Neodiprion lecontei: one gene and its partners. The protein of the gene in region 2 purifies or fractionates together with the protein of the main gene of each other region. This does not show direct contact. Links are inferred from orthologs where the notes say so. Each region holds a gene or a part of one and is shown on either strand. Other genes may lie near its edges. The genes, in order: protein kinase C-binding protein 1, lysine-specific demethylase lid and GATA zinc finger domain-containing protein 1.

Evidence for each region.
Region 1: the proteins of lysine-specific demethylase lid (region 2) and protein kinase C-binding protein 1 purify together in Homo sapiens (affinity purification with mass spectrometry; 3 studies listed by BioGRID and IntAct, with this or other methods). This does not show direct contact. The link is inferred for Neodiprion lecontei from reciprocal best matches to the Homo sapiens genes KDM5A and ZMYND8.
Region 3: the proteins of lysine-specific demethylase lid (region 2) and GATA zinc finger domain-containing protein 1 purify together in Homo sapiens (affinity purification with mass spectrometry; 6 studies listed by BioGRID and IntAct, with this or other methods). This does not show direct contact. The link is inferred for Neodiprion lecontei from reciprocal best matches to the Homo sapiens genes KDM5A and GATAD1.

What each region holds. Positions count from the first base shown.
Region 1 is NC_060263.1:23,694,919-23,705,926, reverse strand, and holds the start of protein kinase C-binding protein 1, read right to left. Parts: upstream 6,576-11,008; 5' UTR 6,399-6,575; intron 5,938-6,398; exon of another isoform or gene 5,807-5,937; intron 4,387-5,806; 5' UTR 4,373-4,386; coding exon 3,879-4,372; intron 3,357-3,878; coding exon 3,032-3,356; intron 2,713-3,031; coding exon 2,532-2,712; intron 2,024-2,531; coding exon 1-2,023. Other genes in the region: myotubularin-related protein 9, read left to right, coding at 7,193-7,354, 8,516-8,681, 8,797-9,089, 9,160-9,263, 9,438-9,742, 10,281-11,005. UniProt on the Homo sapiens protein: Chromatin reader that recognizes dual histone modifications such as histone H3.1 dimethylated at 'Lys-36' and histone H4 acetylated at 'Lys-16' (H3.1K36me2-H4K16ac) and histone H3 methylated at 'Lys-4' and histone H4 acetylated at 'Lys-14' (H3K4me1-H3K14ac).
Region 2 is NC_060264.1:35,601,513-35,612,383, reverse strand, and holds the start of lysine-specific demethylase lid, read left to right. Parts: upstream 1-5,491; 5' UTR 5,492-5,861; coding exon 5,862-6,086; intron 6,087-7,902; coding exon 7,903-8,119; intron 8,120-8,200; coding exon 8,201-8,361; intron 8,362-8,619; coding exon 8,620-8,973; intron 8,974-9,101; coding exon 9,102-9,380; intron 9,381-9,452; coding exon 9,453-9,945; intron 9,946-10,871. Other genes in the region: cytochrome b-c1 complex subunit 8, read right to left, coding at 4,219-4,313, 4,407-4,560. UniProt on the Homo sapiens protein: Histone demethylase that specifically demethylates 'Lys-4' of histone H3, thereby playing a central role in histone code. Does not demethylate histone H3 'Lys-9', H3 'Lys-27', H3 'Lys-36', H3 'Lys-79' or H4 'Lys-20'.
Region 3 is NC_060261.1:12,099,297-12,111,073, reverse strand, and holds GATA zinc finger domain-containing protein 1, read right to left. Parts: upstream 6,236-11,777; 5' UTR 5,729-6,235; coding exon 5,414-5,728; intron 4,519-5,413; coding exon 4,316-4,518; intron 4,156-4,315; coding exon 3,946-4,155; intron 3,826-3,945; exon of another isoform or gene 3,041-3,825; coding exon 3,001-3,040; 3' UTR 2,924-3,000; coding exon of another isoform or gene 2,905-2,923; 3' UTR 2,776-2,904; downstream 1-2,775. Other genes in the region: AP-3 complex subunit sigma-2, read left to right, coding at 101-484, 2,653-2,775; tetraspanin-7, read right to left, coding at 7,482-7,637, 7,760-7,891, 7,966-8,136, 8,244-8,432, 9,384-9,461; uncharacterized protein LOC107225730, read right to left, coding at 10,335-11,276. UniProt on the Homo sapiens protein: Component of some chromatin complex recruited to chromatin sites methylated 'Lys-4' of histone H3 (H3K4me), with a preference for trimethylated form (H3K4me3).

The DNA of each region.
Region 1 (11,008 bases), on a different chromosome or scaffold from region 2:
TGATGCTGCCACCTCATGCGTTCAATCTGCAGTTTGAGATAGTGCACCGTAGCACGTTGATTCATTCCAGAGTTATCTGAGTTATTGGAATTTATTTGAGCTGCTTCAGTCAGTGCTTCCTCCATTAACTGTGCCATTCGCTTGGCTAATTCCTGACCACCTCGGTGAAGTTGTGCACTGAGTGGTCCTGCCTCTGGAGATAGCAGCGAGTGATCATGTTCACTTTCTGTCCTGTGTCCCGGTATATAAACCATTGCATCAGGTGGACTTGCCGGAGCTTTTGGCGGGGATGTTGGCGAGATTTGCGGAAACATTGGAGGTTTATTAAGAAAGGATTTACGTGCCTTAGACTCCTTTTTTGGTGTATGATTTTGCGGTTGATCCTTTGGCTCTTCCTTAACCATTGTTGTTTCTTCAGTCATGATTAAACAGTCCTTTGTTGGATTCATTTTTGTTGTGGATTCCAGTAAGGTGATTCTTGGTAAAAAAATCGAACCCATTGAGGATGATGCAATAGGATCTGTATTTAATGCTGCGGTTATTGTGCTTGATGGACTAATAGTAGAGGCAGTAATCAAGTTTGCATTATGAACAGATTTAGTAACACTGTTCATAGGGTTGTTAGGGACGGACACAGAATTAGCTATAGTAACGGCCGTACTTATACAAATATCACTCACAATGGCAGTGGATTGTGCACTAGTATTCGCAGGTGCTAGAAGCCTATTTAATGGTTGATCCTGGCGAGAAATAATATTTTCTGTGCATTCTATCAATTTTTTTTGCTCATTCGAGGCTGTAGCTTTTGCTCGCTCCGCATTGACTTGATTCACCATTCTAGTTTTTGGCTTATAGACTCTAACCGGATTTTTATTCGTTTTCGGACTTTTTATTTTGATTTTTGAGTCTTGTACAGATCTCGTTTCGTTGCATAGATTATTATGAACTTTTGTATCATTTGCTTCAGTATCATCCTCCCCTTTATGTGATTTAACGCTACCAAACTTCGAAGATTTTCTTATTTCCAATGAAACTTCGTTTTCAGAACTGCTATGCCCGTCGCTACTGTTATTTGCATCCCATCTTCGTCGATATCTTTGCTCTAATTGACTGTCGTCGTCTGTTTTCACACTATCATCCAAGTTGTCAGTGTCGTTTGAAGTATTACTTCGATTACAATTCATTCTGATTTTCTTCTGGTGAAAATTTCCATTATCGGATGAATTGTGGATCACTTTTTGATTTTCGTTAGATTTAGCAAGTGGCGGCAACTTGGATTTATTGAGCTTGTTGGACAGTGACACCTTAGGTATTCTGGATGCCTCGATATATTTTTCACAATCGTTGTCCGAATCACCCTGAGGTGGTGTTGAATTGTTAGCGAAATCAGAAGCATTATTTGTCGTTGATTCCTCAGAACATGATTTCTTTGTGAGATGAAAGCCTCGCTTTCTCAAAGGTGGTTTTCTTCGTGGTGAAGTGTTGGGAGATACTACAGCAGGAGTGCTGGGCTGAAGAGGATCATAGTTAGGTAGCATTAGTTTTATCTGCAATGGATCTCTCGGATTGTACTGTATTTTCGGCGGCGCAAATTTAAACTGTCCAAATGCCAACTCCAGCTTTCGACAATGGCGCGTTATTTCACGAACACATTCGTCCATATCTGCTTTTCGTTTACGCGGAAGCGGTGCAGGTGGATCTTCGGAATATAAAAATAGATCACGAATTGGTACCCAAGCCCGATCATGAGCTCCAAAAAATCGGACGTCCACATGCCCTTGGCCATTTATGCGAGACATGGCCTTGGCTGGCCAAAATGGGAATCCCTTTAGTTTTGCCCAGACAAGTGGATGCGGCCTTCGGCACGGTTCAATGAACCAAGAGGGTTGAGGTCTGGGAAGGTTTCGCGCATGTCCATAACAATCGGAACAGGCCTCAATCTCCGACACCTCTTGCCTGGCTGCTTTTATAATCTGCCTAGCAGCATTTGTTAGTTTAGAGGTATCTGTGTAAACGCCTCCACCTGCAAATGTAGCGACACTATATTCTTCGAGAATATTATATTTTGATATCCTGGCTACCAGATAATACTTTTATCTACACAACATTTATATAATCAGTCTGATTGCACATGCAGCGAAGTTTTCGAATTTCGAAAAAAAAAATTCTATATTTAATTTAGACCGTACTCTAATATATTTCATATAAAGTCATTGATTTCTGTAGGAATGTGAATAAAAATGATTGCCTACAATGTAAAAATAGCAACATTGCGTTGCACAGTATTAATCAAATTTCTAAACAGTACGGGTATGTAACTTAAAAGTAAAAGTATATAAGCTATTTGAAAATACATCGTGAATTTGATATGGCGAAGTATCAAAACCAATCAAACAAACCGAAGATTAGAATACTGAATGCAGATTTTAAAGAATAGTATTTGTCGCTGAACAAAAAAGTATCGAGAATATATAGAATTGCACAGGCTTAAATATTAATCATGAAAAATAAGCAATGAACAGAATACGCACAAGTATTGAACACAATGCAGTTGTGCTGTATCCACTTAGCATCAGCCATAAATGCCTCTGTACTACCATAAAGTTTTGCACGGACATTAGATTCTAATAGACTCAAGTCCATTGGCTTAACAACATAGTCCAAATAGTTCGGAACTTCGTTGAGATCTACCGCCTTCCAAAATGGCTCCGACTGTGGACATAATGATTAATTCCTTCCTGATAATTATCTTATCTCTGTACCACAATAGGACTCTAATTTATCTGTATGAATAAAAATTCTTAAAAACACACTTGACATCTAAACTATCCTAGAAGGCTCAGTAGCAGATTAGGTTCTTTAATTTTGGCAGTAAAATTAATTTTACTGCAGGCAATAAGCAATCGTAATGAATTAATATATTCAATAATACACAAGTTTATCGCTCATTGTTAACTTGATACTTAAGGAGTAAGTAAGCTTAGGAATGAAAATATGAATGTAACAAGTAATGTGATGAAAATGTACACACCCCTGGATAATCACGCATTCTTCCAACCACATGTCTCAGTAGTGTACAGAGCTGTTCAACACTCAACTGAGCCATCGCCGGTGAGCGTGTTTCTGCATTTTCTGCTTTTAAAATAGTAGCACACTCGCCACAAATCCAATTCTGCGGTGTTGGTTGTGGACCTCCACCCATACATCGACGATGCCAGGAACGTGGACATGCGGTACAATGGCTGTCAACAGACTCTTTGTGACATCGCCAGCAGAACTTATCTTCGTCACTCCTAGATCGCTTGCGTTTGTTAATCCTTTCGTTTTTTTCTACCGAAGAATCTCTGCCTTGTAGACTTTAAAAAAAATATTGCTTCATTCAACTATAATAAATCAAGTTCATTTTTTCGGCTGTCTTTATACATGTTAAATATGATATCTCGATCAATGTTGAAAATTGCACTCATTTTCAAAAAACGAAGTTGCTATTAGGCCCTTTCTATTCAAGCATGCATCCATAATACAAGTAACATATAAATTCTAGGAATACTGTTAGGAATATTGTAAAATTAAAAGAATAGAAAATAGGTTTACAGTACTTATGAATATAAATTGAGAAACATGTTAATCTGTGAAGAACTTCAATATTTTGTAGTATGAAGAATGTTCGGAAATACCAAGTGAGAAATAAACGGATTTTGAAACTCTGTGGTTTGGTTTAGAAAATAAGAATATACTAAGTGAGCTTACATTGTTATAAAAAGTTTTACATGGAAAACATAGTTTGCAGTTGATGCAAGATCTACAATTTCGATGTTGAGCAACAAATTAATAATACATCAAATTATTGAAAATAAGAAAACTAACTACTTACACACCAGGTGTCTACCAACCTCGACATTCTCCGTTTTCTCTTGCCCTCCTTAACTGCACTTTCCCCTTTAATCTCTGCTCCATTGATCTTGACGTCTTTACCAACAGACAAAGACGATCTTGTTTCCGAAGCTTGTGCTTCCTCGCTTGTACTTTTAGAGACATCAGGCTTCTTGCCATCAAGTCTATTTTCAACACTGTTATTTTCTTGCGATTCTGCTTCAATTCTACTGTGTTTTTTAGCAGATTGTTTTCGGCTTTTGACATCAGACTCGTTGCTAACGTTATCCTTTGATCTATTCACATTTGTCTTTGATTCTATATTGTCACTTTGCTCCAGAGCATTAGTTAGATTGTTTATTTTGTTCGATTTCTTGCTAGATTCATTATCGTTTTTGTCCTTCTCTGTAACTGCTGTCTCTGAATTGTTCTTCTGATCCTCGCAGTCCTCCATTGCGTTCTTTCTATCCTCCGAGGACTCCATGTTGCTCAGAATCATATATCAGATGGTATCTGTGTGAAATAGATTGTCATTAAAGCTTCGGCTACTTGAAGTTTAATTTTCTGTCTATTCACTGGTAATTCGAATACATGAACTAATACACCATAGTCGAAAAAAAATTTTGTATCACACTGCGCGATTTTGAAAAAAATCTGATATTTGTAGTTCTATTATATGAAGTATCATTTAATTCTATATAACAATCAAATACAGGTTTTTTCAATATACAATAAAACTTTCACCATATGTTATGTGTTATATGTAAGAATTTTATTTTCAATTTCTATAAATTTATTTATGTACAGTGAAAATTTGTATTTTCATGATAAACATTTGAAATCTTGACATACCGACAAAATAAATAAAAGTATGAACTGAAAGCCAGCTAATGTAATTTATTGAAATCGATTCTTTTGAACATTATTATTTATTAATGCACTCCATTATTGCAGCTCTGGCTGTACCAAACTTTCATTTTCAACATTTTTCTAATTTCTAGATGAATAGAACTTTGTCCACATTAGAAATGAAGTAAGAAACTGGATTAAAAATAAAACAATTTAGAGCTGACGATCAATTTTTAAATCCTGCTTCTGTGTCCAAGTATAATATAAAGTGATTTTTGATCAATAACATGAATTGGATATAGGTCAGAGCAATACGCGGAAAAAAGGACTTTTTAGTAGTTATATCATGTTCAAGGATGTAAATATTCTGCATTTTAAATTCAAGGTTTGTAATCAAGCTTCATAACTTTTTCCTTGTTGCCAGGTTTTCTAGGTTCATGGCAATTTTGCCAGAATTGCTTTAGCTAAGATAAAATTATGTTTTAGGGTTTTTGTCAATATGATTTATGACTTCAGAACCGATTAAGGACATGTTTTGTTTGAAACAGATCATGCACGCCGATCCTATTTAAAATGATCCAAGAAACAATCATTCCACAAAAAATTATTTCAACACAAAATTGTATATATGATTATCCTGTCGGTAATTATTCTGTTCACATATAAAATGCAATATTTAGAATAAAAAAAAAAAAATTCATAGATTGCATTAATGTGACTAGTTTGAAATTATCACCTCCCTTGTTCAGCCAAGGACTATATATAGTTTGAAGACACTGACATCAAACATTCTTACATATGCCATTGTTATTACGTACACTTTGAAATGGAAATGATGTTTATCTATGCATTTAAAGTTCCAACCAATCAAGCTTAGTCGAAAACTCAAGTTGTTACTAATACTGAAAACAGGTCGGGGCGTTATTTAGCCTTAAGTTTATTGTGTAATGTTGTGCCCTTGGATGGTTTACAAACTTTTACCAGGTTTACTACACAAAGTCTTATCATAGGATCTCAGTATCAGCAACAAGTTGAATTTACAATAAAGTTTAATGGATCGAAACTTCAGGTGCATATTTCTTACTTCGTTTTTGTTCAAAGTTTAATAGTTTCTGGTGAAATCCTAGCCCCAAAATGTTTCTAGTCTGTATACCATTTACTATTTTCTTGATGATTGAAAGGAAACCAGAAGCCAGGATCTTCCTTCATACTATCCCGAATCGCAAGAGAAACATAAAGCCTTAAATCAATTCTCGGAAGTGAAAATAACTTTGTAAGAGTAAGGTGAATAAGCAATATGACTTATAGTATGCCTCCTGGGTAAGCGACGTGTCTACAACAATGAGGAATACAAGATTATGGCTGAATGCGAAAGATAAGCAGAAAGTAGATGAGTGCCAATGCCAAAAGTGCTAATCGACCTGGTAACAGCGTGTTGTACTAAATGTAAAAAGAAATAATTGTAGAAATGCATTTAAGTTGCAGCGGTACAAACTTGGGTACCTGAGCATGGTTCAATATTGGGAAAGTAATATCAGGATGACAATGAAGTAAAAAGTGGGTATACCTACATCATAGCAGCAGGCACAGGAATGGATGCTGTGGTTGTGTGAAATGGCAGTGAATAGAAGAGGATAGACTGTTAAAATTTCATAAAAATATAAACAGGATCTTACCAATCTATTCAGAAGGAAGTACGCATTATCAAACGACGAAAGCTGGTGATACGACGCATCGCTTTGCAAGACTAATATTTCGTTGAATTAACATGATACAAACATAAGTGGAGACATTAATCGCTATGGAAAGTTAGGAAATATCTCTCGCTGCGCTGCACGAGCAAACCACTACTAGCCGGGCTTTCCTTCTCTTCTCGTTACGCCAGCGCTATCTGTTGAGGTATTGGCAAACCTTCGGACATCACGTGGTGATCGTGTCTACAATTCAGTCGTAACAAAAGTGCACATATACAATTAGAGAACTGTCAAACTATGCGTGGGTCCGGTAATTCCGAAGGCTCGGAATGCTCGTTGAGGCATGACACCTTGTAGTTTTACATCACCTTTTTCGCTCTCCATTTCGCCATCCCGGAATATCACCAGTTTATGTACGAATTTTCGCCAATCTTTTCCACACCTCTTGTTAAAGGGTTAGCTGGTTATCACTGTCAACCAGCTGTAGTGTAGGCGTATAGTGATCTCGCACATACAATATTCGGGTTAACAGCAGCTGTCAAAGAGACGTAATACTTTACGAAAACTATTGCCGAATGAGTTTTCTGACGATTCCGTTACACCGATGTTTTAATCGACTCATAAATTCAACGATAAACTACAAATATATAATAGATAAACGATCAGTCTGATAAGGTATTTATTTAAGGTTACGTTTATCTGTGAAATGTCACTTATTGCAGAAGAATAATAATATTTCGCCTTGTTATTTCCAGTGAGTTAAATCAGCACGAATAATGGAATTGAGTGACTTTATATTAGTTACAAAACTTGATAACGTCGTTCTCACTGATAGAAGCGATGGAACTGATAAAAACTCTAGCTTAGATAGAACGCTCTGCATCACTGGACATCATCTTATACTATCATCAAGGCAGGCTGTTTCTCAGGAGCTTTTGGTACTCAAACTGATCAATTCGTAGTTTTATTCCAACTGCCATATTATTTATTATAATATGTTCCGCAATCCTGTACGTCCCAGAGTTTTAGATATAGTTTTATATTCATAACTCTTGGAAAATAATTTGAGAATTTTACTCATGTTCTGACAATATCTGCAATTTTTTTGAAATATTTTCTAGCCAGTTGACGTTTTATTTTCACATTTTTGTAGATATTCGATTTCTTCCAGCTATTTCATTAAGCACAAGATTTTCCTTCGCTATCAAGCAGTGTTTTAGTTTGAATTGCGTCTTGCAAAAACATAGATAATTACTGAAATAAGAGATACTAACCCAAAATGGATCCTTTGCTAAGCAATACTCTGTGTATTAATAAAGCAAAATTTGACAGTTTAAAACAAAACTATAAATAAGTAATATCATATTAGTAATACAAGGAGAATATATCAATTTGTAATACCTCACTCTGTAAGTGTATAAAAACCAGTTTATCTCCAGTATTGCAATGTCAAATAAACTTAATTTTGATTTAAGATTCCCTTTAAGCACTACAAAAAAAGTGATAAAATCAGGCTTACAGAAATTTGATTTATGAGTATAGACCATCCTTATATTTGAATATCCCAAAAAAATTATGTGCTATCTTGTAACATGTGCAACTTTTCATTTTACATTTAGTCAATTACGTTTCAATAATTACAATAACAGATTTTGGAATACTGTTCGTGATTTAGAAAGATACATCTCAGTAATAAATTAACACAAGCATAAGCAAAAACCTATATTTTCATTCAAAAGTTCTTGAGAGTAAAATATATATTTACATAAATAAGAGTGAAGTATGTAAGTGACACATATATCACCTTATTTATCATTTGACAGTGAACTTTATAAGTTGACCTGTAAATTGCAGGCCAGAATGTAAATACATTTTTAAAGATCATGTGAGAATATGGAACACATTATGTAGTCTTTGCATGTATTGTGAATCAGTTTGAAAATAAGGGCTATGGCTAGCTACCGTTCTATTGATAGAAATGAGGAAGTGTCAAAGGTGTCTGTCAGCAAGTATAGTTGTGTAATGTAAGATTGCTAAATACTGGGAGGATGCTGCCTACTGAAATTTTACTCGTAATTTACAATTGAATCCTTTACCAGCTGCTTCACAGAAACATAGATGTCATAGAGAAAAAGTCAAACAACCAAAACCCTGGAGGCAGTATTATTTTAAAATGCAAGGATTTCCATATCTATCAACTCGATATCAATAGTACAGAGGATTTAAATAATGTGACGTTATCTCTGGAAAAGCTGGCATGTTTGGGTAAATAATCATGGACATAATATTCGTGTACCTGCTTCTGAATACAAATTGACAGTTGCTTTATTTAACTCGTGATTGCTGCCTAACAATAACTAATGCACATTTTATATTTCAGATCAACCTCTCCAGTATCCTTTTTTCTACAGCCCTCAACCTGTGAATAATTCCACGGTGCAAGTGGAAGATGGATGGACTGCATTTGCACCAGTTTCAGAATGGTCTAGACTATTAGCAACTCATGCCGATGAGTGGCGGATTTGCTACCTCAATCGTGATTATAAAGTCTGTAATTCGTACCCATCAGCCGTAATAGTACCACGGCATATAGAAGACAAAATTATTGTATTAGCAGCAAAGTTTAGAGACGGTGGACGATTTCCTGTACTCTGCTACAGACACGATGGGGGGGTATGAGATTTTTGCAATAAATGATTAAGCCCGACTCGATTCAGTAAGTAGAATTTTAATTTTTTTCTAGAGTATTCTCATGAGAAGTAGTCAGCCATTGTCTGGAGCTACAGGAAAAAGATGCAAGGAGGATGAACGACTTTTGAATGCTGTTTTAGGTCCAGGAAGACGAGGGTATGTAAAAATATTTGGCTTCTCAATATAATAATACCAGTATACTTGTATATAGCCGAAAAAAATAATCTAATTTCTAAGTATAAATTAGATTGCATTTTTCAGTGAGTTGAGATATACTTTTACATAGCATTAATTTTACTGGTTGTTGATTGATTTGTGTCTTCTCTACAGGTACATAGTGGATACGAGATCTGCCAGTCAAGCGCAGGCGGCCAAAAACCGAGGAGGAGGAACTGAAATGGACGCAGCTTATCCACAATGGCGTAAGGTGCACAAGGCTGTGCCACGATCTACTGACCTGGCCGAAAGTTTCTGTAAACTAATCGAAGCCTGCAGTGACACAAAATGCTCCACGTCCCAGTGGCTTTCTCGACTAGAGGGTAGTGGCTGGCTATCTGCAATTCAAGCAGCATTGAATGCAGCCTGCGTAGCTGCCCAATGTCTTCACCAAGAAGCAGCTGCTGTCTTAGTACATGGTATGTAGTTATGAAATGAAAAATTTCTATGCACTAATGAACTATTGGAACTGTACTACTATAAGTACAACTAACAACAGATTTTGCATTCACAAGCAGGTTTTACTATGGTCTTCATTAATTTCGTTTGTTCGAGATATTTTCATACAGATGTAATATGATTACCAACTCTTTTCACAGTCATCTTTGATGAAATATAATCGATTATATTGAATAATAATTGTATAAATTCTGCACATTAACAATCGTGTAGAATTATTATCGTGTTTCAGCGAAAGTTTTAGATAACGCAAATTTTTTTTGTGGAAATTGACAATAATTATTTTTGACTGTCCAGTTTTTGGGCATTACTATCGTTTTAGATAAGCATTGTAAGGAATTATTCAGGAATTTGCAATAAATCCGTCAATATGTGAAAAAAATATCGATAATCAATAATTTTGAGATCATAAGCACAGAAGTTTTAAAACTATTGTAGACTTGTATGCAAACACTACTATTATACCTTCACCTAAGTAACAATATGCTTTTTTGGTAGGTGGTGCTGGCAGAGATTGTACTCTTGCTGTGACGAGTTTGACCCAAGCCATTCTAAATCCTGACTGTCGAACCGTGAGAGGTCTGCAGGCTCTTGTTGAACGAGAGTGGTTACAAGCTGGCCATGCTTTTTTCAGTCGGACACGTCATGGGCCTTATCACCCGCCCAATTCTCAAAGTCCAGCACATGCTCCCACCTTTTTGCTATTTCTAGATTGTCTCTATCAGCTACATCGCCAATTTCAATTCAGCTTCGAATATACAACAGATTTACTCATCGAACTTTATAAACATGCATATTGCTCAAGCTATGGAACGTTCTTGGGTGATTCAGAAGCAGAACGAATTCAGCTTAGATTATCTGAGAGAACGGCCAGTTTATGGTCACATATAAATCAGCCAGATGTTTTGGAAAAATGGTTAAATCCACTTTACGAACCAAATCCTGGCGTTATTTGGCCCAGTGTGGCACCTATCAGCATAGAATTGTGGATGGAACTTTACCTTTTGCATACAAATGCCGCGCCATGGAAAGGATCACTTTCTTGCGCCATGCACATTAAACGGAAGCATTCTGCAATTCGAAAGATCTCTGGTCAGCTTCAATCGCAAATCCGTAAAGGTATCGAAGAAATTCATACCAATCCAGATTCTTCGTACGGGACAGCGAACGCTGAAGAACACCTTCGACTAGCTCAGATGAACTTGGAACCTCAAAGTACTTGATGA
Region 2 (10,871 bases):
CGGTATCTAAGTATGCTTTTTCATGAAAGAAATTGGCGAATGATTGTATGTACGCTGTTTTCTTTTTTCTCAATTGCAAATCGAACGACGGAAAGTCTGCAGCCTGCGCGAGCAAACCAACCAGTCTAGAGAAATAGATTAGATTGGTAACAACAACTCGGCGGTGAATTTCTCCTTCATATACCGTCAAAACTGCGTCTGATCTAAACTCGTTCTGGTATAGAAACTTATAATTACAAAATTCCCACCCAATTCTCTAGAAATATATTTTCAGATTCTCATGAGCATCGCAAGAAGTATGACTCCATGCATAAAGAAAAAGAAATACAACATCCCGGCATCATTGTTAATACTATGTGTGAGATTTTCGCCGCTCAATATCCTCAATACCTAGAGGCTGCCATTTTGGTGAAAATCGTGTCTCTGATATTGTCAAAGATAGGCAAGTCAAAAAAGGCGTACGAAGAGCAAGAATTAGATATCGTATCGCGCCTCAAGAGGAATCAAATTCTCCTCGCGGTTGATTGTTCGGAGTGACACGACCGACGTGCGAACGTGCGTCTCGTACCTACGGAAAATGACATCATCATCGTCATCGACCCTGAATGAGGAAGAAAGAAGAAAAGAACAAAAGTCAACGGGTGAAAAACTGGCAACGAAACGTCACGTGTGCACGCGCCTTTATGTTGACACTATCGAATTCGAGATGTAAGCTTGCGAGGCTGGATGTGGGCAAGTAACGAAAGGTGCCCCCCCCCCCCTCCCCCCGCTCATCTCATGCGGCATCAAAGAGTATTAATGCACGCGCCGATACAGGCGTGTGTATGCGTATACCTATGTACGCAAGTGTATGTATCGTGTACGTATCACGTAGGATGTATATGTATAGACAGCCAGAAGGGATCAGTTCTTGGCTGAATCGCATTCCAGAGATTCCAAGGCGACTTTAACCACATTTGAAATTCCCAATCCGTAATGGACGCGCTTATCCCACACACGAAACACGTGTGTACACATACGTATATGTATACAGTTGACACAAATACAGAAGGTACGACGCGTGTACGCATGGCACGGTTCGACTTACGTGCATACGTATACCTATGCATATATACATATATATATACATATATTGTATAGTCGAGAAACTTTCATCTGCTCCCGGAATACACGTACGCATTCATAACTCGTGTATAATAATATAATATGCCTATGCTCGTTTTGAAATATACCTACTAACGTTATGGATCTTCATCGTTGTACCGCAAAGTGCGGTGCGAAATTGATTGACAATTTGAAATTGATGGGATACGGTAGATAAGAAAGTTCGACATTCGGATGCCGAGTTAGATATCGGTCGTCGGACCTCGTCAAGGCCAAGGTCGAAAATCTAATGGCTGGTTGTGAATGTGGAATATGGTGTGTAGCGTCCGACGATCGTGCAGACGCTGGAAGTTAGGCGCAGGTGTTTTCAAGCGATTTTCGATACCGCGAAGTAAAATAGATCTACACACCGTGTACGGCATGGCGAAAATCGGTGCTCGAATCCTGCAGCGCGGTGTCGGTGTGCATACATGTGGCAAAGTAAGACCGTTACGAAACGCATCGGAAATGTCTTCGAGGCGTAGGTATAGGTACCGCGTTGTTCTTCCGTACATTAACATTACCCTACGTTTATGGGAGGTTGCGCGACGACGACGTGCTTCACAAAGCTATTCGTGCCTTAGGCTGACACACCCTGTATCGGAATTGATGAAAAAATTTCCAAGGTGTGCATATCAAGCTCGCATGGCGCGTGCAAAAATTACCGGAATAATGCGTGTGTTTGTCTAACCGCATATTACCCTAATCGGGAAAGATAAGTCGCGATACTTTTCAATTCTTGATAGGCAAGAAATTAGCACGAACTTATCAGCATTTTGACAAATTTGACTGAGCTGTTCGTCAAGTTTTAATTAATCATCACAACCGAACGGGATCGACCAAAATTGTAAGGATCGAGATGAAATATTACGTCCAATGTAGGTACAGACGCTTAAATAATTCAGTACACCGTGTGCGGCTAGTTCCTGGAACTGATTTCTAATCACCTTGGTTTTCTTGTTAGTTACGCCGGTATGATTTTTGTTTTTCCTTTCGATCCTCTTTCCCCTTATCGTCACAACCCAACGCGATATTTACCTCGGGCTACAGCATAAGCTGGGTACGGGATTGAGCTCGGCTTCAACCGGCAATTCGGCCGTATCTTAATACACACCAATCTTAACACACACCAAGAACTGAAACCCTAATTGGATTTTCAAGAGGACAATAACCAGGAAAAACAGACAGCTTGCGAAATAAGCCGCATAATGGGTGAAGTGGAATCGACGCTTGGAGCTCCGTTCAAGTTGTGTTATTCGTACCCCATGTATATACTGATACAAAATTACGGTAGTCGGATGTTAAGACTAGCCAAAGAGTGTCCATATCTCTGCTGCTGCGTGTATGGGCGTATGTGCGTGCGTGTATGTGGGTGTATCGGTGTAGTGGAATATCATCGATAAATACCTTGTGACAGCCGAGTTTTGGTAGAACGCGGGTTTGGCTCGACGAAACTTATAATATCCAATATGACGGTGGTTATAATCGTAATCGCGTGGCACAAGACCAATCGCCGCCGTTTATTTTCACTGTAAACTTATCAACTTACAGGTATAGCTGCAGGTACCAGAACGATAAAAGTTTGAAAACTATCAACTCCGTCAACAAGTGTCAGTCCCGACGTCACACTCTACTCACCTATATACAATACGGCACAGAGCAACGGAGTTTTGGGCGGACCTCGGTCCCACTCATTGTCGACTGGAAATACCTGTGCCGTACCTCTATACCTGACGAAGCCCCAGGTAAACTTGGGCGGGTGTCCCCCTTCTTCACCCCCTTCGACCCACGGACAGGTAGCAAATGAAACGAACCACCTCATTGGTCGAGGTGGAACGGTACCGAGCTTTCCATTCGTCGAGACCTGCGACGGAGCTCGGTACGATCGGTTAGAAGAGGTCTTAGGTTTACCTGGGCCACCGATAGCGGATTCTCGGCTTGCCCTGTAGCGCTCACAAAGGCGGCAAAACAATAAACGACAGTCGTGGGTATTTGCTTGCTCTGGCCATTGAATTCAAGCCAAATTTTACCTGCTCGTATTTCTCGGAACATGGAAGGCATAAACTTCTTTTATTACGGCAAGAACATACTACAGTTAAAGTCCAAACTGTTTTCTTCGCGGAAGGTATTTAAATGGAGTCGGTGAAAGAATTTGGAAGCTCCAACTTTGAAAACTGTACCCGAGATTCTTTCGGAATAGGATGAAGTCAAGATAAAGTAGTAACGTTACTGTAACGGTGCATGTTGACGAAAAATCGGTACTTCGCATTTATAGGAAAGTCCGAGATTTGGTAAACCATTGTAAACAAAATATACTTCAATTTTGAAAAGCCAACTCCTTGAGAGTAATTTTTCAATCGCTTAACTTCAGTCTGATTCTTTCGGAGGATACAGTCAAGGCTGTTGCATTACAATTTTCGCATCCATGAATCGTTATTAGCTAACGATAATCCAGTGTCGATGGGAGAAAATTCGCTATTTTAAAAACGTCCTCTAAAGCCGAAGGATGTTTTTCAGACAATTTGAAAGTCAAAGCCGAAAAAACGTAGTCCTGATATTTTTTTTTTTACCATATTTCAATTTTGCTGTGGCCATATTACAAGTTTTTACGAAATCGATTGAATTCGGTCAACTACAGCTTGACTGTATTTCTAATTTCCAGAATTGGCTTTTCGAATTATGCAGAAGTGATTTCTGAACAAATTTTGGCAATGAATGGCCCACAACAGCTGCTTTAAGAATTGAAAACAAAATGAGGAGGATGGTTACGAAGAAATTCAGGTTGTCAATTTTTCCGACGCCGTTTGAACGTTCGATAGCAGGATTTCGTTGGTAAATTATAAATCTTTCAACTCGTTAAGCAGAGTACGTATTATCTGAAAATTAAATTTCAAACGGTACTCTTAACGAACACTTTCTCGTTAAATTGACAGGAAACTTTATTCGTGTAGTATAACTTTAGACATTCGATACACGCAATATATTCACGGATACTCTGTACAGATAGATATATGCATGTGTGTTGTTTGACTTTCCAACCATATTCTATAAATAAACTATGCAAATACTAATTATTTATACGTCATTTTCATAATCCTTGGGGTTCTTCCTTTGAAGGCGAGCGTGTTCCTTTTCTGCCCAGTCGTAGACCAAGTAGGCTATTAAAAAGGCTTTAACAAGAAAATTTTTCATCTTAGACATTACAGACACGACTGGTTTGAATCTAATCACACAGTCTCGTACGACTTTGTTGAGATACTTACGTGGGCCCATTGTAAACAAGTTCTCCTTTATCCTACGAAATACATTCGGTACACCATGAGATATCGCACCTGCGAATGCCCGCTGCTCGTACGGACTAAGTCGGTAATAAATAATTCCTCGCAGCTTGTACAGGTTTCCAAATACCTTTCCCATCCTGCCAACTGTCTGTGGAAAATATCTGATTTACGTTAAGCTGTTATTTTGTGTGGCGAGTGGTGTGTATACGACAGTTACCACACGAGCGAGGGGGGGGGGGGGTGAAAAGGTGTGTGGAATTGGTGTAGAAAGAAGGTGCCGAACACACTTTTTTGCAAAATGAATCATTCCGCTGGACATTCTTATCGGTCTGATGGCTATGAATATTCTAATGACAACAGAGAAATTGCAACAGAAGACGTAAAGCATCGACTGACTGGCAAATAACGTAATTCAGTACGTAGCCCTCTCTGTGACCAACCTAACAGTCACGTCCGAATTACGTAAGAAGAAATACGGTAAAAACGGCAAACGGAATACCGCGGAGAAACTCATCGAGTATTAAGTTAGATAACTCTATCGTTTTTCGAATAAATTATGTAATTATTTGGTAAAGACACCTACCCCTTGCGCAGAGAGCACACGTCGAGTCTAATGGAAAGAAGATACCGACTTCAGACGGGTAGACAAAGTGCACCAACACGAAGAAACGAAACTGAGGAGCGAGTGGCCAGCAGTTCTGCCAACGTTGACTCACTCGGGATACTATTTTTTTCACGGATCTTTCGCAACTGACCAATGAAGGATCGCTGAGCCAGTTTGCTGCCTAACCAACATCGACGATTCAAACGATCAATCTGTTTTCATCCGTAGAATTGACGACGCCTCGTATGCTCCGTAGAGTCTTGAGAGATGAACGCAATAAAACGCAGGTATAACCTCGACGGCAGTTTCTCCGGTGTGGCCGAAAGCTCAGTCAATGGCGTGAAGGTATCAGCCATGTTGGCGGTGAGGATTGAGGAAGCGCCGATGGAAGAAACACGGGAGAAAAACGCATTCGGTTGTCGCATGCGCGCAGAGGTTGGTTCTCGAGCAGCGTGATAGTGGAACAAGTACTGAATGCATACGTACGTGCCAGACGGACTGGTGTGAGTACCGAGCAGCTCTGCCTATTAGAATCGTTCTATAGTTCCTACATAGAACCCGAGGAGTTGTGTGCGGACGGACGGATTGTCACATCGGTAACGGTCATATATACGACATCCGTAGCCATGGCTGCGCTAAAAACATTGACGAACAAGTTTTTCCAATTAATACCTGAGTAGTACCGAGTTTCCTAATCGATCCCCACACTATTGTCACGTGCCACGGTGTATTGGTGATTCCCGAGTGAAATCCACGGGGGAATTTAACATACCAAAACTTTGCCTATATGTCCTCGTTGGTGGTGTGCATTCGTTGTGTGACGAAATTACGTGATGGTCTCTAAGGTGGATGTAAATATCGGGTGCGAGGCTCGGTTTGGTACTTATCACGCTAAAGATATGAGTGAAAAAGGTGACAAGGATTTTGAGTTCGCTATACCACCAGAGGCCCCAGTCTTTGAGCCAACAGCGGAGGAATTCCTCGACCCCCTTGGCTACATCTCCAAGATTCGTCCGATTGCCGAAAAATCGGGAATTTGCAAAATAAAACCACCGCCAGTGAGTAATTACAACGATGCGACAGCCCTCCCCGCCTCACCCCTCATCTAGGAGGCCTTTCGCCCTTTATCGTCCCCCCCCTTTCCCTATGCCGTAGAGATGTTAAAATCCAGCGTCGACGAACCGTATGTGTTTGGGGGCTTTGAGAAAGGAAAGCGAAAAGTGATGTAGATGCGATAAAAATGTGTAACAAAAAAAAAATACTATGTACACACACGCGCTCACACCCTCTTTGGATGGATACCTTATTGTTCGGGATGAAAAAAATCTCCCACAATCACCCGTATCCACATGGGCTAGAGTTGTACGATTGAATACGCGATGAAAGGAACAAATGCGGAGTAAATAAATAAATAACATTGGCAGAAACGGGATTCTGTTTGTCGATTTGCTTTCTCATTGCTCTGACGATGCTAACATTGGACGTTAATTTTGGGAAATCGCGTAAACAAATGACATCTAGGTATATTAAATGCTGCGTCTTCTCGACTGTTCCTGTGACTGACATAACGTTTCGTCATTATCTCACGTCCTCTCACAAACGTTAATGTCGCACTTTTACAGTTGTAAACTGTCATTAGAAATATTCTTCCGGAAGAATAATTAATTATTGTTGTATTTGGTGTCGTTTTTCTTTACTGACCGATTTTCTTTCTTTCTTTCTTTTTTTTTTCTTCTCTTTTTGTTTTTCGAACACCTATGCTACCTCTTTCTTTCTACTCGGGCGAAACTACCACCGATGTTAATCTCACCAGCGTGTTACATCCACAAACTATAGCTATATCGATGCACATAATGGTCGTTCGTCATTTTACGATTAGCAAATTACTAGATGAATAAATTTTTATCGCAGCCGCGATACGCTTATCATCGAGAAAAATTTGAAATGGTGTAAACCGAGAAAATCGGAAACAACAAATAAAAACAAGAAACGTCAATCCAACGACGATGTTTATACGCATACATTATTACCTGTAACGATAAAATCGATCGAAGTTGTTATACCTGATACAGCCATTATTTTTCTTGCATTAAATGTCAAATGAGTTGCAAACCTCGGAAAATAAATCGCCGTGAGAGCATTCGGTCAATACGTAATTCCGTTACTCAATTTACAAGCGTCTGACGATTGTCGAATCCGTCGAAAGAAAATGAAAGATGATGTCCATTTTGTTTTATGTAGGTATAACGGACATTGCATATCCGTGCGCGTACTGTAAAGAAAAGAAAGGTGAAAAGTAATCAACGGCAAACGAAGAGCTGTCGTTGTTTATATTGCGAATGCCCCTGTTAATTGTGTCTTATTTCTTCTCTAAACAAGAAATTATACGTTACGCTTGCATTACCATTTTATCAATCCAAGAGACAAATCCTACCTCACGTCTGCTATATCCAATAATTTAGTAAAGTAGGAGTTTGCGAACCGAACCGAAAACTAAGGTCGGCTTCAACTGTCGAGATTTGAAATTAGAACAAAACAGTAATCCAAATGCATCCGTGTTTTATTGCCATTGCTAAGGGCAAAGGGCGAGCGTCAGAGGGGCGGAAGGGGGGAGGACGCTTACCGTTATAGATTCGGCGTATAATTTGTATGACGAAACATGCGATTGCATAGTTTAAAAATAAACGGGAAAAACTATAATAGAATTTTCACCATTTATTATGTAATTGTCAACAGTCGAACCACTATGTACAATAAATTTTTCCAAAACTGTAAAATGTTTAATTCCAATTTACAAACTAAAGAAAATAAGTAAATAAGTAGAACCAAGTTTCCAGTTTGCTCATTAAATTCAATATTTTTTTTTTTCCACAGAATTGGCAACCACCTTTTGCCGTTGACGTTGACAAATTCAAATTTGTACCAAGAATTCAGAGGTTAAACGAACTTGAAGCAAAGACCAGAATAAAGCTGAATTTTTTAGATCAAATAGCCAAATTTTGGGAGCTTCAAGGATCATCGTTGAAAATTCCACTGGTTGAACGTAAAGCTTTAGACTTGTACTCCTTACACAGAATTGTCACCGAGGAAGGTAAAGGATTGTTTTTATCGTCCTTTCCCAGTTACCTGTGATTTAACGATAATACTAATACTTTGTAATATTGTTTCATAGGTGGCATTGAAACAGTTACTAAAGAAAGAAGGTGGGCAAAGATTGCAAACAGGATAGGATATCCATCCGGTCGAAGCGTTGGAAGTATTTTAAAAAACCACTATGAAAGAATTTTGTATCCCTTTGATGTTTTCAAGCAAGGGAAAACCTTGACTGACATTGTAAGTATCTTCAGCTTAAATTTGCAACTGACTTATCAATGTAGTGTTTATTCATTTAATCAGTAATAAATCATTTGTACTGTCTCCAAAAGAAAACAGAAAAAAAAAAACGCGTTGGCCTCCAGACATTTTATGCAGAGCTGATGGTACAATTTTTGTTTATTTTCAACTATGTGAAGTTCCTGAATTGGACTCTATTAATCAAAAACAAACATTAAATGGTCCAAAGCTTACCCTAGTATTGTGATTTTTTTTTAGAAAATTGAGCCAGAGGGTGACGTGAATGAAAAAAAGGACAGGGATTATAAGCCTCATGGAATAATATCGAGACAGCAAATAAAACCACCAAATGAAAAATTTTCACGGCGTTCCAAGCGATTTGCTGGTACGGATGAAAAACCAGAATTAGTCACAGACAGCACATCACCTATTAAGCAAGAAGATTGCAAAGATGAGTGCGACTCTGACAATGAAAAGGATAAAGATAACAGCAAAGAGCTTAAAAAATTGCAGTTTTACGGACCTGGTCCGAAAATGGCCGGTTTTAATACCAAAGATGTAAAAAAGCCTAGCAAAACCAGAGGCGTCAAATTACACTATGATTTTGACCCGGTAAGTGAATTCAATTTTTCACGTGTTGAGAAATAAATAATTGTTTGTTTATCGGTGTATTACAGCTTACTAAAGATCTCCTATATTTTTGCACATTCTTATTCCTTTGTCCTTTTTTTTTTTCACAGCTTGCCAAATACATTTGCCACAACTGTGGTAGAGGCGATACAGAGGAGAGCATGCTGTTGTGCGACGGATGCGACGACAGCTATCACACCTTCTGCCTTATGCCACCATTAACCGAAATACCAAAGGGTGATTGGCGATGTCCAAAATGCGTCGCCGAAGAAGTCTCAAAGCCTATGGAAGCCTTTGGATTTGAACAAGCTCAGCGTGAATATACGCTGCAACAATTTGGCGAAATGGCCGATCAGTTCAAAAGCGATTACTTCAACATGCCTGTACACGTAAGCATCATATTTTCATTCAATTTCAAATTACTCTCTCGAGTTACGTCTTTAAACGGTAATTTTTTTCAGATGGTACCGACTCCTTTGGTCGAAAAGGAATTCTGGCGGATTGTTTCTTCGATAGATGAAGATGTGACCGTCGAGTATGGGGCTGATTTGCACACAATGGATCATGGCTCCGGTTTCCCGACGAAGACCAGTGTCAATTTATTCACGTGCGATCAGGAGTACGCCGAATCTTCGTGGAATTTGAATAATTTACCCGTTCTACATGGAAGCGTGCTGGGACACATCAATGCAGACATTAGCGGGATGAAAGTTCCCTGGATGTACGTTGGCATGTGCTTTGCCACCTTTTGTTGGCACAACGAAGATCATTGGAGTTATTCCATAAACTATCTACACTGGGGAGAGCCCAAGACTTGGTACGGAGTTCCTGGATCTCAGGCGGAAAGATTTGAACATTCCATGAAATCTGCTGCCCCGGAATTATTCCACAGCCAACCGGACCTTCTCCACCAACTCGTCACTATTATGAACCCTAACATACTGATGAATGAAGGTGAATATTACAGGACAATTATAAACGCCCATTGAATATGGTATAAGAAAATTATCACGTTTTAACTGATCCTGCTGATTCGACATTTCGTTGTCAATTTACTCTCTTTCCTACCAGTTTTACACTTATAGATGGCAAGTTCAACAATTCACTGCATTCGGGAAAAAATTCAATTTGTCCATATCACATCTACTTGTGACAATTCTTAAAGTATTGAAAAATTCGCTTCAGTTTCACTCAGGGCACCAGTGCTATCTTTGAATGCTCCCATGACACAGGCTCCAGAGTTTTTGTCCAATATATTCGTCAGGCTGCCATATTCACTTATTGTTCGACATCTCAACGTAACATTTTTACTGTTCGATTAAGTTCCTTTGGTTCTTTCAACTTCATATTGGTCTTTGCTTTAATTTACTTCAGAAAATCGTCGATGGCTGTACTGTCCTGGACCTGGTTGCTCGCCGAGATGCCAGCATACAAATAATCCAACCCCCATGTACATAGGTATCCGATTTCCTAACAACTTCCCTCTTCACGCCATCCCCCATCCTATTTACATCACCTGCTTATTACCTTATTATCTGCTATTTTTGTGAGCAGAAAATAAAAGTTAGTTTTTTATATTAAAAACTGGGCTAATCGAACGGATATTGACGAGTTATTTTATGGCATGAATTGACATCGAATCGAATATGTTGTACATCGACTCCATGAATTTATTTAAAATGCCAACAGTTATGGGTGATAATAGTCAGAAAAGCAGCGATCAGTATAACGTTTGATAATTGTTGGAAAAAAAAAAAAAAAAAAAACTTGTTTATAGTAGACCAAATTTTACAAAAGTAATTTACAGATCGCTCAGTTTTTACTATTGATTTGTGCTAACTGAAATTTCACCAAATGGATGGATCTCATTTCATTCAATA
Region 3 (11,777 bases), on a different chromosome or scaffold from region 2:
GTTATCGGAAAGTATGACAGACAGCGCGAGGGAGGAACGGAAAAATATTTCACCTTTAAATTGAAAACTTTACATTTCAATATCACTTTGTTCTCTTCAGAACGAGGACATGCAACAACAAATCATCAAAGAGACGTTCCAACTCGTGTCAAAACGAGACGATAACGTCTGTAATTTTTTGGAAGGAGGCAGCCTAATCGGGGGTTCGGATTACAAACTGATATACCGACACTACGCGACTTTGTACTTTGTTTTCTGCGTCGACAGTTCCGAATCTGAATTGGGAATCCTGGATCTGATACAAGTGTTTGTTGAAACACTGGACAAATGCTTTGAGAACGTCTGTGAATTGGACCTTATTTTTCATGTGGATAAAGTTCATTACATATTGAATGAACTAGTGATGGGTGGCATGGTACTCGAAACAAACATGACTGAAATCCTTAGTCGAATCGAAGACCAAAACAAGCTAGAAAAACAAGAGGTGAGGAGTTCTGTTATTTCATTATTGCATTTTTCTCTTTTCCATTTACTAAACGTTCCTCACAATATACCAGTTTAGCAAAGATCCTTCAATTTTTCTTACATTAGATTGTAACTGTTAAAATTTTTAAGTTTTGAACATGACTAATCATCTTAAAAATGCATGGGCTCTACCATCTCAATCAAAAATTAAGAAATGAGAAGGTACCGTTTAAAAAATCTCTAGTAATTTTGTTTGTTCCAATGATAGTGAACTCGAATAAAACAACATCCCTATTATGTGATAGAAATGATTTTGCAAATTCGTATTACCCAAGTTAAGGTATCAGCAATTTGACAGGTTTTATCGTTAGTATGTTAGAAATTATAAAACTTGACTGTTTTTTTTATTCCATTCTAATGTTCGGCGACTTCTTTTTTTCACCTCAGAGATAGATCTCCAGAAATCACACAAAAAAACAAATTAAAAACGACTATCTCCAGAGTGAATTAAATAGATTAGTGTAAGCATGGAGCAACAGATGTCGGGCGATAATTGAATTTGTGCATTTTAATGGTACCATAATGTAAGATTTCTTGAATGTCTTCCAGACAAATTATTGTGGCCTGATCAGCTAGCAAAATGAGTCCAGAAATTACAATCTGGTATAAAATACCAGAGTTTAAGGGAGAACATTCTAAATACAAATCCTTCTCTCAAATTGTAGACATGCTCGCTGTTGTTATTTGAATTTGCTCAGATTTGTTTCTAATACACAGTAAGAATATTGTTTTTTCTGTTCACTAACATTGACACAAATAACATTACCAAAAATTTTTCACACAGTTTTTTTTTTCTTCCTCTCATTTTTGATTAAAACTGTACGGCCTAATTGTCCTTAACTTTAACATATCCAATCAAACCCACAGAGCTAGGGTAGTCAGCTGCTGACGGAAAATCCAGCAACACCTACGGGACTCACATTTTTATCTGTCAAAAATCGTCTCTATCATTTAAAGCAATCTCCATATTATCCATCAATAAAAAATATTTTAGACTTCAGACGATTAAAATGAAAAAAATGCAGTTTGATACTCGAGGACACCATCAAATATTGGAAAATTTTCTTATCACAAACTGAAACCTAAAGCTTGTTTTCATGTGTTCTTCATTGCATGGTTGACAAATCTAAATACATATTCTGGAATTCGATAAAGGTGTACCTTCTTTGGATGCATAAAATTTCTCAGTCCTGTGTAAAAAATTTGAGCAAAACAGAAATAGTTCAATTATATTATTTGTTGTATTTATTTTGTTTTTAGTGTTCTTTTCTTTTCAACACTGCCTACACGCCAACAATTGCTCCTGAACATGTTCTTGTAGTTATGGCTTTTTACACGAGTGAACTGACTCAAACTCAATTTTAGGGGGCTTACAAATCAGTGCGATCTTACTCACCTCGTCCGATTGTCCTTCTGGGACCTCCTCCCTAAAAGTCAAATAGTAATAAGATTTGTTTGTTTTGATTTTAATATCATTCCGGCTAAATATGTGAGGTGAACATTCCTATTTCGTCTGTGATCTATTTTTTTTTTCTTTCATACTTCAATGATATGCATCGGTTTTTTACATAATTATACATTTACATATAGTTGAATTTTCATGTAATATTGTGTATGATATTTTGCATGAATTTTGTAACGTATGATTTATTTCAAAAGAACTAGTGCCTTACAATTAGTAAAAATGTATCTAGCAATAACGTGAATAAAATGTAAACCATATATTTGCATCTATCTCCCTAATTAATCCTCTACTACTCTTTTTATGTACCTATCAAAATTTTCGATTGTCAATCACTTCTTTAGTCTTCTTCTTACACTATTATCAATATTATTAGTGAATTTGTATAATATGCATAATTAAAACAATTTACCTGAACAAAATATTTCATACATTACAAACTTGTCATTGCTGGTTGAACACTTCCATGTTAATGCAATGAGATCAATTCAGAACAATATTTTCCATGCTCAAATCAATCTAAACTGTAAGAGTTTGATATTCGATTATACAAAATATCATCGTTATACATTTGGACAAAAATATGAGCATATTCAAAGGTAAATGTCCCAGCGATTACGCTGATAAATCTACCTGATTAATTGATGAATTATTTTTCCTGGCAGGCGGGAATAACGGCAGCTCCAGCTCGGGCTGTATCAGCAGTGAAAAATATGAATATACCGCAGCAGTTAAAAGACATGAAACTACCCGACCTGCCACAGGCAATAAAGGACCTCAAGTTCTGACCGGCGGTTACATCGCTTTTGCCTAGTTGACTAGATAGTCCTTCAGCTGAGGTTGTTTCCTCTGTCCAGTTAACGGCGTCTCTTTCCACTGGCCAAACAGATGAAAATGCCCGGATGCTCCCAGCGGTGTCAAACCAGGTTTCTTGCTCTGCGTTCCATCGTTATCAAGGATAAAAATGAGACGTTTCTTTCTTTCGGTTCTAACAAGGATACTAGGCCTCTGAATCACGGATTCTGCTCAAGCTTGTCAGTATGTTTCCTTGGCCTAAAATATAGAGCCTTGTAACATATAGTGTATTATAACAGGCCTTGCTTTAATCCGGTTACAATTGATTATATGAGCAATTTGCTCAGTGAAATGCTGTAATAAACGAAACCTGTTGATGAAGTTGTAATGATAGGATCTCATTGATTCAAGTTTCAACGAATATATGAACTCAGAGCAATATGAAGTGACTGCGAATTTTCTAATATCTGATATATTGTAAATTACGTGAAAGAAGGCCAAGTAGATGAAACTAAACCTTTGGAGTTCTATATTTTGGGTATAAGGAACACCCCTAGAAGTTTTAGTGGAATCCGTGATTCAAAGAGCTAATAATTTTCTTTAACATGTCAATATCCATCGCGTTTGCCAATGAGAGAATTATTCACCTAAATTTTCATTCCACGTCGGCAATATAATGTTCAGTGAATATTTTTCACTCACCATTATTAGTATTTTATAGTGCCTAGCTATCTGCTAGTATTAGGGGCAATATTGTACAGCAAATCAATGCATAAATAAATTATGTACGCATTATCGTAAACGATATTTGATATAAATGAGCGTCCTCGTTTATGAGTCACCGATAATTGATATCAACGGTTGAATGAAATATGAAAATCAGTTTTGGCCAATTTATCACTTTCGCTAGTAAAGTTATGAAATCTTTATATAATAATAAAATATAATATATCAAACAGATAAGTGTAAAGCTGTATAATTAATGATGACGATGATGACGATAAAAGTTATATCAAAGTTTCAAATAAATATTTTTTATTGAGCATTTATTAATGTGAAGGTTTATTTTTTACTATGAGCCAACTTTCTTCATTCGTTTGAAATCCGTCTCCCTTAATAGGAAAATTAAATAAATTTAATAAAAAATATACATGAAATATTACTTTTTACGGACACTGATTTCGTGTTTCAAAGATGTCCATACGAAACCAGCCCCGGTCTCCGTCAACGGTGGCGGATACGGAGAATTTTTCAATTTGTAGTAATCGGATGGTGCATGCATCACGAATTCCATGCACTCCAGTTTTCTTGGCAAGTCCTCCTCAGGTCCGATTAGGTACGTCTCGGGATAAAATCCATGTTCTGGCGGAGGGCTTTACCAGTTTTTGTACAAGAAAAATGTTCACTCTTTACATCTCACTTGTCGACAACTTTGTAACATATACAATAAATTCGAATTCTTTCCTATCAACTGGTATTCTTGTTACATATAAAAATGTATTGTGGCATAAATACTTGAAGATAATATTTTACCTAGCAGTTGTTGGGATCAGCCAAGTCACTGCTGCGCTTTTCTCACAATATTGATCCGTCAGCAGCCCTCGTATTTGAGCGTAGTAAATACCGCCATCAATGTCTTGCATGGACACTATATCTCCAACTTGAATGTAAGAACCTTTATAAAAGACGTAGTCACTGGTGACTGGCGTCGCAACAGCTGCAGGAGCTTTGATTGGCTACAGCAAGCAGAAATCAGTCATTGTAACTATTGACCATTGTTAAAATTGATCTGCCGATTCATCTAAATATGACCGTCAACGGTTTTTGTGTGTCAAGGTGTTTAAAGTAGCACCGATTGAATTTTTTTCGTGCCTCAAAAACCGCACTTGAGCGAAAATTTTTCTCAGAAATCTTTCAAAATTTATATAAATTTATTCAGAATATTAATTATTATGACAGGTCCTGAAAAATCTGTCGCAAATTTTAGTAGTGTTAAGAAATTTCGAAATAGAAAAACTTCAACTTGTATGTAGAATATTTGAGATTTATGGAAAAACCTGAGAGGGAGATAACAAGGCAGGTAATGGGAGATATTACGGGAACATTTTGGTGAATTTTTAGACATTTTTGAGGATTTCTAGGTATATTTGCAAACAAGGAATTTGGAAATTTTTGGGATCAGCTTGGAGATCTTGCAAGGCAATGTTGCAAGGAAACGTATGGGGAGTTGTAGGAAATGGAGATGTGTTGTGCACAATTTCAACAGTGATTTAACCCCTCAGAAAAACCATATTTTTAGAAAATTTCTGTGAAGAATTATTATGATTCTAGTTTTATTGAAAATATTCTTTCGCATATATGTAGACTTTTTCAACTGTATTTCAAAAAATTTAACTTCAAAAGTTTCCAAGTTTCCTAAAGGTTTACAACTCCTTTAAGAAACTCATACCAGTTTTCCTAAACCTGATACTGTCAGAAACATATATAGAAACGCGAAAAATAAAATTTTTCAGATTTTTGATGCAAAATGGAGTTCTCGAAAAATGTGACTTTTCTGCTCACAAGCAATAGAAACTTTACGGGAAACGTTTATTTCGATTCCCTTTTCGAGTCATAATATTTAAAACTTACTGTCTTTTTAAAAATATGTCGGCGTCCTTTACCCTTAGGCAAAACTTTCAGCTGTGTAACGGGTTTGCTTTTGAGGTACCTTGTCACTCTCGTGCTCTTCCGAGGCTGCAGTTTAGTGTCATTCGACTCATTTTTCACAGTGGCATTGACATTGTTCGATGAATTATTGCTAGCTTTGTCATCATCGTCAATTGCATTCCCACAACGGTCAGATTCGGAACAATTATTACAGATATTACCGGCATCCGTACTGTGCCATAAAATACTGTCTGTACTTTCGCATTTTGTGCACTTCGGCTTCACTCCTAGCGGCATTTTTTTCTTTATTTACATCTACGCTGGATAGATTTACACTTACATTTCTCGCCTTGCGGTGCTTTCCTTACAATTAGTGTTTTCGTAAACACAATAGCGGTACACGCACTGATCCTACACAGATTCACTACGCAGGCTGGGCTTCATCGCCACGCGATAGATTTGAGCCAAGTGCACTTTAAATATGATACAAAGTATATCATTGGATATGTTCCTTTTTTACTGCCAGTACGCAGCGCTGCAAACACGGTCCGATATACGGCCACAGCACACTGCCAAACTCTTATGACGTCACAAACCTGCCCGCTTGAGGACGTAATACGTGCTGTGCAGACTGGCTGCTGTGTTTTGTGGAATTGTTACAGTCACGATAAGGACCATAGACTTAAAGAGATAGACTGCGCGGTCTGTGCACCGAGCTGAAGCGGTATTTAGAAAGAGAGAGCAATACCTAAAGCTGGACCTCTCACTTTAATCGGTGACGAGAAAACAAGTGGATGTCGCGGTAGGATAATATTTCTACTTCGACGGTGCAGAGCATGCGCAGTAACTAATAAAAAGAGACTGGTGGTCTCATTGATTGTAATTTGAGCTATCTCTGTCTTCGGAACCCCCACGACTGCAGTGCGCGTTCCAGTAGTTCACCGATACTAACACCGGAATTATAGAACTGATCATCCTCCTATCCTCTAGTCTTTCTGACTTACGATTAGGTTTAGACATATATACAGAGAATTACGAAATTCTGGCCATCACGACATATTTTATGCATTGAAGATTGGAATTTTGGCTGTGTGCGCAGTTAAGGGGGTAATATAGTCTGGCTTTACCGACTGAATAAAATGTTGGGCACTTTTACTATGTGCAATGCCGAACAAAACTATCTGGAAACTCATTCGTTTCATGCGAAAATTGAGTCCAGGAAATGTATTCCTGCAATAAGCGATAATTCAATTATAAGAATACATTTCGTAGCGTTATTGTTACGTGAAAGAAAACTTTTTTTGATATTTGTAATAGCCATTACATGTACAATTGCGCTGGCTATGGTATTTCTACATCAGTGTTGCAGAGGCTTTGATAATGGTCAAAATAAGTGACATTTATCGCGGTCAGTATGGACTGATTATAACATCCTCTTAAGACAATACGGCGACGTGAGCGGTAATCAGCTGATCGATTAGATTAATCACTTAAATCTTACAGCACAGAAAACTTCGTACAAGCTTTTCGGTTTTCATTTCATGACATTGAGTTAATATAGAATAAAATATTCGATAAAAAGCCAGTTTTGTAATTAAATTCGACTTAATAAGCGTAGTTTGTTCACTGCCATGACCCGAATGCTTCTTCTGAAATCAAGGATTCCAGTTCTGCCTGCTACCAGATTTCAGGCACCACCTCCCTCTCAATGACGCTCAATGTGTAGAAATCTCGAACAATCAATATTAGTTGGGATTCATTGTAGTTGTATGTGTATATGTTCGTTGTATAGAAACAAATTTCATAAATGATTAATTGACATATAATTATAATATATAAGTTTCTCTCCCATCCGCATCCTGATACTTCAACACAGTTTCAAAACTGAAATGAATATCATATAGTGATACATATCATAATAAATAAGTGCGTATGTACGCAAGCTCACAGCAATAAATGAATAAGTTATGATAACATAATTACTTTGATTTTTGTTTCTGTTAGTTTAATTGCGTTCTCTCGTGATTAACCGTCACGCAGCGTCATTCAATTACGCAACTTGCTCGTATTTGGCTTTGTTGATATTACTAGCCAGACAACAAGCAAGGAAGACTCCAATGAGAGGAAAGAATGCAACACCTACAGCACTACCAGCCACCAACCCAATGTTGCTGTTTATGAAGTCGACAACCCGGTTGTAGCAGCCCTGGAAACAACGTTAATCCAAAACTCTCGACGCCATAAACTAAAACTGTTCCTATGACTTCAATTCTGAGAATGAGAATATGTAATACAGATCGGAAACTTCGCAATGTTTATGCTATTTACCTGAGTATACACGTTATCCAGATTCGAAGAGTCACACGGGTTTTCAAGCTGCTTGCAGCAAGATTTAGGAATCTCTTCCGGTAAGTTTATGGAGTGCCAGTCAGTGTAGCCGCGGTTTCCACAGCAATGCAACTGTAAAAATGTGTACAATTGACTGATCGAAGAAGATAATGCTGCACGATAAAAGAGGAACTAGGATATCATACGGTAGACTGCATGGTATCGATATCATGGTGTTTGTTGGGGTCGTCTACATAGAGAACCAAGCTTTCATTGAGCCCTTGATCGAAGCCCTCGGTCAGAGCGTTGCGATATGCATAAACGGAGGCACCTGATCCCAGCTCTAGGAGTACCACAACCGCCAAGAATGCTCCGTACTGGGGATAAAAGGATAGAAAACCGATAAGTCCACCTTCTCATCCAAGAGATACTGATTATCATGTAATATGTTGATCTTAGTTGTATGCGTGTATTATATACTTACAAGGTATAAGAGTGCCGGATGTCCACGTGCCGTACAACAACATGCCAAGATAGAGGCTACGACTACGAGGATGCCGAGGCAGGCCAGAGCCAAAGGCGCTGCACCGCTACCTTCAATGCTCATATCTACGTACTCTCGGAGCTGAATACGCATCCAGATCCCAACACACAGCATCAGTACTCCGGTGCACTGCATTAGCATACCGTCTCAGATTAGAATTTTTCAACAGCAAATCATCACTACATCGTTCTCTCGCTAGCGTATGTATTAATGCACAATGTACATACATACATACTCATAAGTAGCAAAGCACCATCCTAATTCGAAATTCCTTCAGTGTAAGTAATGGTAACTTCAGAAGAGTGCATTACGTTTTGGTACCAGTCGTTTCTGCGCTGGACCAAAACTCATATCGAACGTTCTCGTTAAACGTTGTGATAATAAGGATAACCGATGTCTTCCCAACCGTTCCGGGGATAACCGAAATTATTTTGATAGCTCCGAGGGTATTTAAACTAACTGTCCTAGTAATATATGAACTTATTTTTACCACATACGAATTTTCGAAATCATTTTAACCGTAACAGGGATGTTTGAACTTTTCCTAACCGCCCTAATGAAGTTCAGTCTTGATCTAATCATTCCATGAAAGCTCGAACTTATCAGGATCCTTAATCTGGGTGTGGTTAGGACAATAGAGGCGTCATAAGAGATAATCAGCTGATTGTTTCAGGCAAATTATGCAAATATCGAGGCACAGAATACATTGGCCAAGCTTTTGAACTTTAATTTTGTAATGCCAGGTCAATGTAGAGTTTAACTTTCTCTAATCGTAACTCCTATTTCATTTTGTGTTATTTAAATCTACAATAATATAACAAACAAAATCTGAAAATATTGCAACATTGCCAATCCAAAACTTGTACGATATTAAGAAGCGTGAACTTTTCTGCTGAGTTCTCAAAAAGAATGCACAAACACATGTGAATCAATGCTATACATGGCGATCAGATTAAGCTAAACGCTGATTGTGTTGGAAATGCAACAGTTGGGCGGATTCCGTCAATATTTCTTCAATTTTGACGGCAGCATCGAGGCGTATGAATATGTGTATATTTAAGACAAGTTAAATATACCCACCCCAAATGCAAAATTGAAGAGTATCAACAGCGTCTTCATGCAGGCCATTGCCGCAACGGTTTGCAGATGTTTACCCATTTTCACTTATTCCAAATTTCCGCGCTGTTTCAACGGGACGATGGTAACAGGCTCGACGCACTGCTGGTCTTTCGGCCTCGATCGATCCCGGCAGCAGCTCTCGGTACCGTCAGCCATGTATGGGTGCGTTGGGGAAAAGTTTTTAGGGCGCATGCGTTCCCCGTCAATCAAATGCGAAACGTACTGCGCTCTACCTTAAAGGGTCAGCTGCTAATTTTGAGTTGCAAAAAAATTCTTTATGTCGTCAAAGTTACAAAAAATCTATGAAGAAGGAAAGTATCTGGCCTTCGGATCATGGATTTTACTAAAATTTATGTAGAGGTACTACGTTATCCCAAAGTATAATGTAGGCAAATTTTTCATCTGTTGACATTACGCCGGTTTTAATTTGTCAATCCATAGTCGATATTTCGACAAATATACTACCTGGGTTATTAAAGTTGAGTATAATCTACAAAGTTTACTGAAATTCAATCTTGCGCCAAATACAGTATGGTGGTAATCACTTTGAACATAGGTTTTTTAATCTGAAAAATCATTGGCCACAGAAATTTTCCCTTATTTCATGAAATATTATGAGAAAAACACCAATTCTTGAGGCACGGAAGATATTCATATTAACTGCCTTTTACAGCCAAATATGCACATCATTCAAATTACATTTCATATACAAACTGAAGTATGCATGGAAATACAAATCATGAATGAATGGTGACGAAAAGATAAATTTTTAGTTCTATTGAAGAAAATAACGAATACTTCATTGTTTACAGATATTATGACCATATGATCGAACAGGTATGGGTTATGCATTTATTATACGAACTGATCACATCTACATATAAGACAAGATATTAATAATCTACAATATGACTATTTTTTGATCGAATGACGATGCGGCGAACAGACGGCCTCACCTTTTTTTTTATAATTAAGCAGAACTCCAGGCCAAACAACATTGTTGTCTCCAACGATCGTCGGCTGAGATACTTTTCGGGGAGATTGTCTGGTTCTCCGAATACTGACCAACCGCTGCTTAAGTGACAACGGTTGATCCGTTTTCCGCGTTATTGAATTACCGGTAAATTGTACGCTATTATTTGCCTGATTATTATTATTAAGATTATCCTCACTGCTACAGTAATTATCATTCTGCAGATTTCCCTCTAACTCATCGTCCAAATACCGTCGACTTTCGTCGGCTTCCAAGTTCATCTGCGTCAAATCAGTGATAGGCCAAACTTGGGTACCCGCAGCTTTCGACGGCTGATCTTCATCATGAAGTGGACTTTTCCCGCTAAGTTCGTCGTCGCATCGGTGACATTCGATTTCCCCCGCGATTTTCGGACTCTCGGCCCGTTTAAGACTGGAATTCCGGTTTCGATTTCTGCCACGAATGTCGCCGATCGTTTTAAAGTAAATGCTGTGGTCGTATCTATACGCCTCCAGGCACTGGCTGTCCACGCGATTGTTCGACTGGTAATTCAGGCTGCCACAACAGTTTATACGCACTTCTTCCGGCCGGGATTTTCGTCTCCATGAACGTTCCAGTCTGTAAAAACGAGGATTCCAAGATTCGCAGTCTCCCACCACGAGCTTATTCGCCGAAATGCTCCAGTTGGTGTCGCCTGGCTCTTCTTTCATGGTCAGATGCCCTCGAGAATACCTCTGCGATTTGAGGCGGTTGTAGCCTCGCGCTAAAGCGGCCCATTCCTCAATCCTTTGGAACACATACTCAGTCTCCTCGTTCCACCAATCCGATAACCCTCGATGTGTCGTCGGCGTCGTAGCCTCTTCACGAACAATTGCAGACATTTTTGTGAACCCCCGGGACCGATGCGACGTTATTTATTTCCTCACTTGAAGCACTTCAACTACCGAAGCCCTGCAAAATTGCTAAGGTCGACTCTAGTTGTAATCCGCAATAGCTAACCTTGAACTTTTTTACTTCGCTATAAGTTGCCGCTGTTCGTTTACTGCAGGTTATTGGAATCTGTACAAATATGCATGTGTGAGAGCTGTGTGCTGCTGCTTAATCGGAATTGATCTGCCCCCGTGAACATATAGGGTATCTTTCCCCTCGAATTATCGATTCGAACATGGCAAAATCTTATTTGAATTTCGTGAGATCTAAGCAGGTAAATTAATATCTGCGTAAACAATTTTCATGAAAAAAAAAACACCCGTATCGTTAGTAATGAGTGAATCAAGCGTGGGATAGGATGTTTTGAAATAGCACATGGAACGAAAATGAATACCAATTCATTCGCTCCATTCGCGTGCTTCCATTTCAATGCGGCCATTTATTCACCAATA